Rhinolophus ferrumequinum: one gene and its partners. The main gene of each other region encodes a partner of the protein of the gene in region 2 in a complex. Links are inferred from orthologs where the notes say so. Each region holds a gene or a part of one and is shown on either strand. Other genes may lie near its edges. The genes, in order: METTL3, RBM15B and CBLL1.

What was found.
Region 1: RBM15B (region 2) and METTL3 share a complex: the UniProt entries of both Homo sapiens proteins name them as parts of the WMM complex. The link is inferred for Rhinolophus ferrumequinum from reciprocal best matches to the Homo sapiens genes RBM15B and METTL3.
Region 3: RBM15B (region 2) and CBLL1 share a complex: the UniProt entries of both Homo sapiens proteins name them as parts of the WMM complex. The link is inferred for Rhinolophus ferrumequinum from reciprocal best matches to the Homo sapiens genes RBM15B and CBLL1.

The regions. Positions count from the first base shown.
Region 1 is NC_046289.1:72,314,174-72,317,921, reverse strand, and holds the start of METTL3 (N6-adenosine-methyltransferase catalytic subunit), read left to right. Parts: upstream 1-1,336; 5' UTR 1,337-1,445; coding exon 1,446-1,545; intron 1,546-3,748. UniProt on the Homo sapiens protein: The METTL3-METTL14 heterodimer forms a N6-methyltransferase complex that methylates adenosine residues at the N(6) position of some RNAs and regulates various processes such as the circadian clock, differentiation of embryonic and hematopoietic stem cells, cortical neurogenesis, response to DNA damage, differentiation of T-cells and primary miRNA processing.
Region 2 is NC_046300.1:5,656,044-5,659,791, forward strand, and holds the start of RBM15B (putative RNA-binding protein 15B), read right to left. Parts: upstream 2,852-3,748; 5' UTR 2,720-2,851; coding exon 41-2,719; 3' UTR 1-40. UniProt on the Homo sapiens protein: RNA-binding protein that acts as a key regulator of N6-methyladenosine (m6A) methylation of RNAs, thereby regulating different processes, such as alternative splicing of mRNAs and X chromosome inactivation mediated by Xist RNA.
Region 3 is NC_046303.1:50,840,042-50,843,789, reverse strand, and holds the start of CBLL1 (E3 ubiquitin-protein ligase Hakai), read right to left. Parts: upstream 2,785-3,748; 5' UTR 2,562-2,784; coding exon 2,513-2,561; intron 2,463-2,512; exon of another isoform or gene 1,509-2,462; coding exon of another isoform or gene 1,496-1,508; intron 1-1,495. UniProt on the Homo sapiens protein: E3 ubiquitin-protein ligase that mediates ubiquitination of several tyrosine-phosphorylated Src substrates, including CDH1, CTTN and DOK1. Targets CDH1 for endocytosis and degradation.

The DNA of each region.
Region 1 (3,748 bases), on a different chromosome or scaffold from region 2:
TTCCAGGCTCTCAGCCTCCTGTGGGGAGGTGCTGGCTCAGGTAATGAATGACAATCAACTGTGATTGGTTCGCTGTCAGCTGTAACCGTTTAGCCAATTGGCTACTGATGTAACTGCCGGGACTGCATTGATTGGTTGGTTGATTGGCAGGCAGAAGAAACGAATGGGGGACTGCCGATTATGTGGATCCTACTGTGTGTGTCTTGCCCGGCCACCAGCGAGAATATAGTGGTATGACTTCCCTATCTATGGCTCTGTGTTGTTCCTTTTTGGTCTCACCATATCCTGCGTTCTTAGGTGGGCAGTGGGACCAGAGACCCTGCATGACACCCTGTATGACAATAATATTGAATGTCAACTGAAACTGAAAAAATTAAAAAGCGGGAAAGGTGAAGGGCAATTGTGATCCAAATTTCCAAGTATAAAACAAGTAAGTCATGGGGATATAATGTACAGCATAGGGAATATAGTCAATATATCGTGATAGTATTGTATGGTGTCAGATGGTTGCTGGACTTATCATGGTGATCACTTCTTTAGGTATATAAAGATTGAGTAACTACTGTGTACACCTGAAACTAGTATAGTATTACATACTAACTATATTTTTAATACAAGTTTTTAATTTAAGTTTACTACACCTACAGAGACGTGCACATACCAAAATTTTTGGCTCAGTTGATTTTCACAAATGACATACTCATGCAAACAGCATCCAGAAAAGAAACACAATGCAACCTGAACCTCAGAAGCCCCCTTTATGTGCCCTTATGAGGACTGTATTTCAATGTATTACACGATACTTGTAGATGTTATATAATTAAGAAGAGTGAGAATATGTATTTGTAGACCCCTTATATTACCATCGATCCATCAGTCCTCCTTCTCTCTGAGAAGCATGCCCACGCATACACATCCATAGGGCGGAAACTAATGTAATAGCTCTTTGCAAATGAATGCATGAAACCATAAACCCACTACACCTTCAGTGGAAAAGGTATGTATCAAACTTGGCCGAGACGAATTAGTGATCCTTCATTTTAAATACCGGTACTACACGTGCTGCTGTACTAGTGTTATTTTAAGGTCAACCCTCAGGAAGCATCTCCTTATGCTCAAACATGGCCGCATGCGCGCCTATAAGCAACATGGCCTCTTTGCCAGGCACCAACATGGCAACCACAGCCTCATTGCTCCCGGAAGGACGCAAGAAGCCCAATTAAAAAATATGTCCTCCATCCTGCCAATACCTAAGATGGCTTTCGTTTCAGCTTCAAAGCGAACGCTAAACCGGAAGTGACTTTTCCGTCTAGGCCATCTCTCGGGATCTCTTTCCGGTTCGCCTTGGGGTGTCCACGAGAGAATTGAATATTTCCTGGAATTCCGGCTGGGAGGTGCTAGTCCGCCGCGCCTGATTCGAGACTTGTCCAGGCTGTGAGACTAGGATGTCAGACACGTGGAGCTCCATCCAGGCCCACAAAAAGCAGCTGGACTCGCTGCGGGAGAGGCTGCAGCGGAGGCGGAAGCAGGACTCGGGGCACCTGGGTGAGGCGCGGGGCTATCCTGGCCCATGCGTAGCCGGGGTGTGCGGGAGGGATCCCTGTAGAAAAAGACCGCTCCCGAGTGAGAGCCCTTCTCCAAGCGGCTATTTCTTTAATGCCTTGTTCATTGGTACTCTCTTTCGTCCCTCAGTAGCACAGATGCTTCGCCCCGCTGCAAGTAGTTGAGGTTCCTTCCCACCCTGGGCTTTGGTTCCTTGCGTTCGCTTTCCTGGGTTTGACGCCTGTGCCCCACCCCCGTCCCCTGGCTGATTCCTCTTAAGTCTTAAAGAATGTCGCGTTTGCCAGGTCTCAGCCCTATCTCTCGAAGTAGCAAGTCCCCTTTTTTTGTTGCTTCTATGGCGCTTTGTTCCTGTCGGTTACAGCGACTGGTTGGTAGTGGTCGTTTATCTGTGACGGGACACCGAGAGAGCAAGCACCGCATCTTAATATCCACAGTGCCCATCTCAGTGGCCCTCACAGAGTTGCACTCGGTTTTACTAAATGAGAAGAGGAACTGACATTGTTTCAGTCATTTACATACCGAGCAGGAATCTGAAAACGGTTTTGTTTGTTTTTAAATTTTTTCTCCCCTCCCGTGTCCCCCGTGTCAGGCATAAAACGAAGGAGCCTCAAAAGATTTTTCAAGTCCTACCCATCACCCATCCCCAGCATGAGCCCTGAATGATTTAAGGCAAATCAGTTTTGAAGATCTACAAACATAGTGACTCTATACGACAGTGGTAGCTTGTTCAAATGTTTATCTCTATCTTCTAGTCCATCACTAAATCTTGTCTTGATACATATCAGGTCGACGCAGACATACTCTTGTCCCTGGAACTAGCAAATGCCCTGGCAGGACTCTCACACCAAAATAAATAAATAAACGAACATCTATTGAGTTGTTACAGTGTGCATGACTCTAGTTAGACAAAAATAAGTATGACATTGACCCTGCCCTCAAGGAATTTGAAATTTAGTTGGGGTTAAAGGATAGATGCTTATAACAAGTCAGATACAATATGATACATGTAAAATGCCAAATGAATGAGTCCACAGTGAATGTAGTGAAAGGAGAAGTAACAAGAGTTGGTTCAATGAAAAGCATCATGGAGGAGCTGGCACTTGGAATTTGGTTTTGATGGCTATATAGGGCTTAGATCATTGAAAAGAAGTAAAGAGGGCAGGATGAGTAGAGGAAAAAGTGCAACTCCTATGATAAGGGATTAATTAGTAGTCAAGCATTGGAGTAGTTACTGAATTACCCAAGAGGGAGAAGGTATTTCTTGATATATAAACTTCAATTCCTTTGACCTCTTGTAGATCCAGTTTTCTCTCCTTTTTTTTTCTTATTCTTTGGTTTCCTCTGTGGCTGAGCCTTTTATTTATGCATATCAATTTTAGATGGAAAATCTAACAATTACATCACTATCATAGAGAAATAACCCAATTGCTTCTTAATGTATCATAGACTCCTGTTACTGGCCTTAAGCATCTCATCATCTTTTTTTAAAAAAAGCATTCTGGAAAGATATAGTTAGAGGCATTTTTACTATATAGGTATGTTTGTGTGTGTTCCTGAAAAACCTTGCTTTCTGCAGAAGTCTGCATTACAAAATAGCAGGGCTTATAGAAGAAATAGGTTTTGAAGTAGTCTGCTCAAAATCTATGTAACTCTGTTACTAGAACCCTAATAATATTCTACTAAAAATACTAGCATAGTTAAATCTCACTGGTGTTTTGATATATAATGAAAATCATTCCATCCCCATAGTCTATACCTTGGGACTCCTACTTCTGCTTCCATCCATTAGTCTGTTTTTGTTTAACCAAGGGAAATACCTTTGCATTTTCTTCATCTATCCCAGATAGCTTAACATAGTGCAAAGTGTAGCACTTCTTGAAGCCACCAAACCAGCAACTTAGATTTTTTAAAACCTTTTTTTTTTAATTTAATGTTTTTATTAGAAAAATATTTTTAAACAGTATCTTAAAATTTCTAAGTAATAGCATGATAGAAAGGACACTACTCTGGATGTCCAGATACCCAGACTTGATAATTTCACTCATTAGTTACTTAAACTTGATAAAGTCATCTAAGCATCAATGTCTTTGATTTCTGGGTTCTAAAATGATAATGCATAAATAGATGATAATGATGTACAAGATTTTTTCTGATTAAAGGATACTATTAATATATATGCAGTATA
Region 2 (3,748 bases):
CTTTTGTGACAGCAACGTGAAGCTGGAGGACGGGTTTGGGCTAGGCCGAGTCCCTTACGATCACTATCACCATGTGCTCTTCCTCGAGCTTGCCCAGTGTCCTCAGCGCCGACTGGAGGTATTGCTGGGAAAAGTCACAGGGCGGGAAGGCGTACAGCATGCCTGTGCTGTCTCTGCCCTTGGACCCACCCACTGGCAGGCTGATCACCCCCGCCGCCTGCTTCTGTTTCAAGTAGGAGACCAGGTTCCTGAGAAGCCGCCTCTGTAGGCCTGGCTCCACCGCGGGCATCCCCTCGGTGCCAGGCCCACTGGGGGTTGCCTGGGTGGCCAGCAGCACTGCGTAGCCATTGGGGCTCCCTTGCTTGATGCGTCGCGTGACCTCGTCGAGCTTGGGCTGGTCCAGTCGAAGGCGCTGGGCAATCTTCAGCTGAGTCAGCTTACTCCCAGAAGCGTGGTCCTTGAGGAGACCGCTGATGACCCCCTGGTCCCCCTCTAGGATGTGCATAGATGTCGGGAAGCAGCTGTTTTTCAACACTAGAAGCCCGTTCCAACCCAGCTGCAACGTCTGGGCATACTCGGAAAGATTCTTGAGCTTTTTGGTCTCGTGTTTTGGCTCTTCCAGAGGCTTGGGCTCAGCCTCAGCGGTTCGATGATTGCGCTCGCTCTCGCGTGTCTTCTTCCCGTGGGAAGAGTCTGCAGCCTCGTGGTGGTGGTGGCTCCGCTCCTCCGCCCCGTGTCTGCTGTTGCTGAGGGAGTTGCTGCTTGACTCCTTGGTCCCTTCACTGGAGTGATTTTCCTTGCGACTGCGCTCAGGGGTGCGGTCGGAGCCTCGATCGGCCAGCTGCCCACCACCCTTGGTCCTGCTCCGTTCCTCGTAAGGGGAGTGGGTTGTCCTCCCGCGGTCACTGGAAAGACTCCTCCGCTTCCGCCTCTCCTCCCAGGGCTTGGGCAGGCCCCGGTCCCCATCTCCTCCCCAGCGCTCCCCACTCCGGCTGCGCACTGAGCGGCTGTAGCCCTCCAGGCTGTTTCGGCGGTCAGAGCTTTTGCTGGGGCTGGCCCAGTCCCCTTCCAAAAAGGTCCGGTCTCGGTCTGAGTACAGGAGGTGTGGGGGGGTCCTATCCCGCACCCTCAGATCGGCATCCAGGTTTCGGTGCCGGGTATACCCATCTGGGAGCAGCTCGTAATGCACAGGGAGAGGGGAGGGCTGGTACTGCTGGGGATACCGAGTCTCCTCTGCTTTGGCAAAATCCACACGCAGCCTGCGGTCTGGACCACCCAAGGGAAAGCCCCTCATTTTAGCACAGGCGGCCTGCGCTGCGTCCAGGCTCTCGTACTGGATGTAGGCGAAGCTGTCTCCTTTCACATGATCAATGGTCCGAATGCTCCCAAAGCGGTCAAACTCCCGGGCCAGGGCGGCCAGCGAGGTGTTAGGCCCCAGGCCACCCACCCAGAGGCGGGTGGTGGGGTTGGCCTTGCCATAGCCGATCTTAATGGGGTTGCGGCCAATCACCCGCCCTGACATGGCCACCTTCGCCCTGTGGGCCATGTCTAGGTTCTGGAACTTGAGGAAGGCGTACGCACCGCCCTGGCCCCGGGCCGGTCTTTTGATGACCACCTCCTCAATGATGCCGTACTTTTCGAAGGCTCGTCGCAGCTCCACCTCCGACACGCTGTGGTCCAGGTTCCCGATGAAGAGGTTGCGCGTGGCCCGCTGGTCATCCTCGGGCATCAGGTCCTCCTCACACACGGCGGGGTAGCCATATGGGCGCCCCCGGTCGTCGTACAACCCGTAGTAGTCTAGGGCCCGCTCCCGAGATAGTCCCACGGCAGCGGCGGCCGCAGCATCCAGGGCAAAGGCTGCAGCAGCGTGGGCATGGCGGGCGCGGGGCTCCCGCAGTGGCGGGGCGGCGACAGGGGAAAGTGAGCGCTGCTTGTACTGGTAGCCACCGTGCAGCGGCAGGTAGCCAAGCGGGTCAGCAGGCGCAGGCGGCCCTGGGGGCGGCGTGGAGGCGGCGGCGCTGCTGCTGCTGCTTCGCCGGCTGCTCCCACCGCCGCCACCGCGCAGGTACACGGGCTCCACCTTGAGCGGGCGGTCGTAGAGCAGCAGCTGGCGGGCCAGGGCGTGCTGGCGGGCCTCGCGCGCGTCCTGTGGGTGCCGGAAGTTCACGTAGGCCACGCGGCCCAGCTCAGGCGTGTGCGACAGGCGCAGGCTGATCTCGCCGAAGCGCTTGAACTGGTGGAACAGCCGGTCCTCGAGGTGCTCTGCAGGCAGCGCGGGGCTCAGGCTGCTGATGAGCAGCGTCTTGTACTCGGGTGCTGCCGCCGACGAGCCGGGACCCGCGGGCTCGGCTCCGGGCGGCGGCGGAGGTGGTGGCAACGGAGACGCGCGGGGAGAAGCGCCTGAAGCGCCCGGGTCCCCCGAGGCCTTGCCGCCGCGTCCCCCGCCGCCGGCGCCCGAGCCCGAGGAGCGGCCGCTGCTCGCACGGTGATTCGCGTCCCCGGCGCCGCGGCCGTCGCGATGCCCACCCCCGCCGCCCCCGCTACCACGGGGTTTGTCGCGGGTCCGCGTTGGAACGGGGTGCTTGGCGCCGCCGGAGGCCTTGTGCGCCGCCCGCCGCCCGCCCGCCTCCGCCTCCCGTTCGCGCTCCCGCGGCCGCTTGGCTGACGATGACGAGCCCCGCCCGCTCGGGCTCGAGTCTCGCTCGCTTTGCCTCTTCATGGCGCCGGCGTGGCGGGCGGGCGGGCGGCCCTCCGGCCTCTCACAGCGGCGGCGGCGGCGGCGGCGGCGGAGGAGGCAGCGCCCCCGGCGCCGCCATCTTGGACAAAAGGACTCAGCGGCGGGGCGGGAGCGGAGCCCAGGGGCTGGGCGTCGCGTTATCAGGCTGCGCCCGCCGTGCCACGTGACCCAGCGGCGGGCGGGGCGAGAGCTGCGCTGGGCTTACGCCATCGGACTGCGCCGCCCCTTGCCACGTGACTCCGCGACAGGCAGGCGAGCGCGGCTGGGTTGAGCTCTGGCGCCACCGTGCGGCCAGCGTGGCTGACGCTCGGGGATACGCTGAGATCCGAGTCCTAGGGAGAGCCGGGCTGGCTCTCACCGCCTCAGGCCGTAGCATGTGGGCGCCGGGGTCCAGGGCCTTGCCTAGCGATCCCTTTACGTGGTATCACCCCAATTTCCGCCACGGCATCTCCTGACTGGGGTCCGGGATTAACAATCCCAAGGATAGGAGCAGGCTGCTCCCTAGGCCCCATCCATGACCCAAGGCCATCCTGGGGCATCCTCTAAGTTCAGGTTCACCGCAGCGGTCCCCCGAAAGGCCATGAGGGCCATGGCTATGCATGCAGAGGGCGACACCTCTTTAGGCCCAGGCACAGAAACCCGAGACAATGTAACAGTTTAGGGGCCGGGACTAGGCTACTTGGCACCAGACAGTGGGCTGCAAGGACAAGGGCCACTGTCTTGGTGCCAAGAGGCCAAAGCCAGTAGTTCCACGAATTGCCGCGCTTACCTCTCACTGGCCAGGGCCCTCCTATCCACCTCCCAGGACAGGAGCTCTTCTCGGGAGAAGTGAGGTGAGGAGAGGGGAGCTACGGAGAACCATACCCAACGTCAGCCACAGAAACCGTGGTGGGAGGAGCGCAGCAGCTTTCCCTCTCCCCCAAACAGGAAAGCAGCTCCTGAAAGCAGCTAAGGCAGGTGTCAGGGGAAAGGCCTTAGAAGAAACACCTGCAACACTGCATGACCTGAAAT
Region 3 (3,748 bases), on a different chromosome or scaffold from region 2:
ATTGACTCTGTCCACTCCGGTTCTTCACTAAGCCAAGCCTGCCTTCTGGTTTACTGCAATTACCTCCTAAATTGTCTATTTTCTATTATTCTTGCCACCCTCTCTTACACCCTTCTCCATAGAACCTATTATATTTTTAAGATACTATGCTCCTCTTCTACTTCTGTTCAATGGCTTCATATTGCACATAAAATAAATTTGAATCTTTAACATGGCCTTCAAAGTCTTGCACGACCTGATTCCTGCCCTCCTTTCCAATCTCGTATTAGAGCTCTTTCCTTCTTGCTAATAACTAAGCTGCAGCCGACTAATTTCCCACTTCATTCTTTGTACTTGCTGAATATGCTTTCCTCCTGATCTATTCCATGGCTGGATTCTTCTCATCCATCAGATCTCAAGTTGTTAATGCTACCTTTAGAGAAAGACCTTCCCTACCACCCTCTCTGAAGCGTCGTATTAGTCTTTACCACAGCATGTTTGTTTTCAAAGAACTTATCATAACTTGTAAACATTTGGGCTTTAAAAAAAATTTATTGTGTCTTCCCCAATAGATCGTAACCTCCATGACAGTAACTCTGCCTTGTTTACCATTCCATCTCCAGGCCTGCAAGTTTTGGAGATAGAGAAAAATACAGACAGACAGATAGACAGGTATTTGATGATTGAGGACATCCCAACAAGTACTTACTACAGGAAAACGCCTTTTTTCCCTATTTGCGATGTGGTTAATGTAACTATACGAAGCACTTTCTAATCCCAAGTGCACTCATTCAATATCCAAAAACCCAGCAAGCTAAACCAAAAAAACACGTAACAAAGAGTGGAGCCATCCTTACTTTGAGAAAGAGATGTGAATGTCTTGATTTTAAGTTCTCCTTTGTAAATGTCCCCAAATGATGAGTAAGGGCCATAGCCGAAGCGCGGGGTTTCGATAGAAAAGCTGCTCCGAGCATCATTCCGAAAACCAACCCGACTCCCTTCTCCCACCTCTAGTCCATAAAGGACGGGAGAGACAATGACCACAGACGCTGACCACCGCAGCACCCGCCCAAAGCTGCCTGAGACAGCAGAACGTCTCCAACCCACTCTCGCAAATCCACTCCCAGCGTAATAAGGCTTCCCCGTCTCCGAAACGGGAATCTCCCCCTAGTTCCCGTAATGTAGGGCATAGCCCTCAGAATGAGAAAGAGAAAGAGAGAGAGAGAGAGCGAGATCTCCGCACAAGGCCCGCGCCGCCCGCCGTCCCGGCTCGGGGCTCAGCAGAACCAGATAAGCGGCCGTTGCCGGCACCGCGGCTGGAGGTACCACACCGGAGAGTAGGCCGGGAAGTAGCAGGCCCTTGCCGGGCAGGGGGAGGGGTCTGTAAGATTTCTTTCTCACCGCTACACCCCAGTAATGTAGGGCGAGCGTAACCCCTCTATGTCCGCTAGGAGACCAGTCCCAGGCCGGCCAAGGGGGCATGGAACCGGGACCCCCACTGCCTCCGCCTCCTTACCAGTGTGATCCATGATTCGGCTCGCAGAGCACAGTGGGAACGGAAGTCAACTGCGCCGGAGTCGCAGGGAGCGCGTGCGCGCTACCTTCCGGAGCCCGGGAGGCGGAAGTGCCATTAGGTTGCCCCGGCTTTGGCTTCCGAGGGCTTCCTTTCCTGGCTCACACCACCCAACTCCGGTAAGCGAATTAGGCATAGTTCGGGCTGAGGAAGAAAGAGCGAGTAGGCTAAGGCCTTCGATGTCGGGGTTGCTACGGCCTCTCCTCACATGCTTCGAGAGAAAGTAGCCTTTGACTGGAAAGGAGACGGACGGGAACCGGGGAGGGGGAGAGCGGTAGTAGCTGGAGGGATAAGCTCCCGGCAGGTAGGCGGATGCCCGCCCCCGCTGAGCGTTGACTTCTGGGACTTGAAGTGCACCGGAGCCCTGGAGAGGCCAGGCCCAGTGCGCAGGCTCGGCCGTTGGGCGGCCCCACCCCGGCAGGCGGAGTAACGGTTTGGAATCCCCCAGGTCCCAGAGCGGCTGTCCCCTCCCCGGGTCTAGGAAAAGTGTAAACACGCGCGCTCCCCTAGGCGTCCTCCGGCGGAGCTAGCCCAGGGGATGGGTGAGCTGTGTGAAGCTCCCAGCTAGAGAGAAGGGCGCTGTGCTTATTGTCTAAAGGTCGCTTTGCCGCGACGAGCTACATAGACCCACGCACAACCGACTTGGTATTTGTCCCCGTTCCCGCCTCTTAAGTTTCTAACAGTTGCGACACATTTAGAATGCTTGAGTAGCACTCCTTTTCTAGCCTAAAAGCTTCTGCCTCTAGGAACAGCCAGAACATATGTCCGAAGGACTGGGTGCAGGGTCAGGTGGAGAGCGAGTGCAGCGCAGCCGCCTGTTTCTAGGGGACGCCGGTCAATAAAGTGCACCGTGGAGCTGAAGGAGGGGAGGTGGAGAGAGCGTTAGGGCTGGCCGGAAGGGAGAGGTTAAAAAGGAAAGGCCTCAAAGGAGGAAGAGAGAGTTACCACAGTAAGCAGTACCTAGTTCCAGTTCTTGGTCCCAGGGGTTTGTGGCTGCTGCTGCTTTCATCTTCTTAGGCCAAAACAACGGAAAGTGGCAAAGAGTGATTCCTGAGGACCTTCAGTGCGGTCTCCACCTCTCGGGCTTGGCTCATTTGTGTCCACTCCCTTCTCTTTTACGTTTGATACCCTCTGATGGGTAGAAAGGAGCACAATTAGTGGAAAACACAAGCTGGGGAGTCAAGGGATTTGGGTTCTATTCTTGTCGTCCCTTGGTGACGACATCATTACCTTGGGTTATTCACGCTTTCAGTGCCAGAGTTCCTTGATTAATAAGAGATTACATTGACCTCTTACAAGAAATGTTTTCATGGTACTGAATTCCAAATAAAGTATGTGTAGCAATGTGCTGTATCTGTATAGATATACAGTAACAACTTTGAATAATATGTTCCCTGTTATTTGGTGAGTGTTTTACTTGAATCCTTTAAAAGACACTCCCACTACTATATCTGCAACTTCATGAACAAGTTTTTAAGGACCTTCACAAGGAAGGATAATTGTGAATCAAGATTACCCCTGCTTTTGTTAAAATGTGGTTTTCAAGATGCTTTCAGTTGCTGGCCTTATTTTTTGTTTTGGAGGCTGGGAGAAGCTTAATCTTCCTCCCATACTTCCTATTTACAGTGTTGATACGATCGAGCATTTTTCACCAATTTGGGGTTTAAAAAAAGGTCGTTTTCACCTAGAAAGTACTCTTTTTATTTTTTCTATCCTCATATTTAGCCTATTGGCCATACTTTAGATTGATGCAAATCCAGGTTTAAAATAATATTAGTGTCTACTGATGCTAATATTTAAAGAATTAGAAGAAAAAAGAACTTTCAAACTATTTTATATAATCTAAATCAGAAGTTTTGTCAGCATTGTTATGAAAATTTACTAAGGGAAAACTCACCTGTTTAGACTTCCTGTTGATAAAATGTTAAACATTTGGTGAATTATTTCATTTAACATCTGTTGTTTTCATGCATTACTTTATGCTCTATATTCATTTCTCCCTTAACTGTAGTTGCTTCACTTTACCAGTGCAGCAGTGTAAATCTCTTAACTAAACTGGTAAGTGAAACTATACATAGATTGAGATTTTATTACTGTGCTTGGTAGCTATTGTTGGTGACTTGTGTGCTGTAATGTCACAATTTCTTTATTGAAAGTCCACATTCACATTTATTTTATAGCATGGCACTGTCCTAA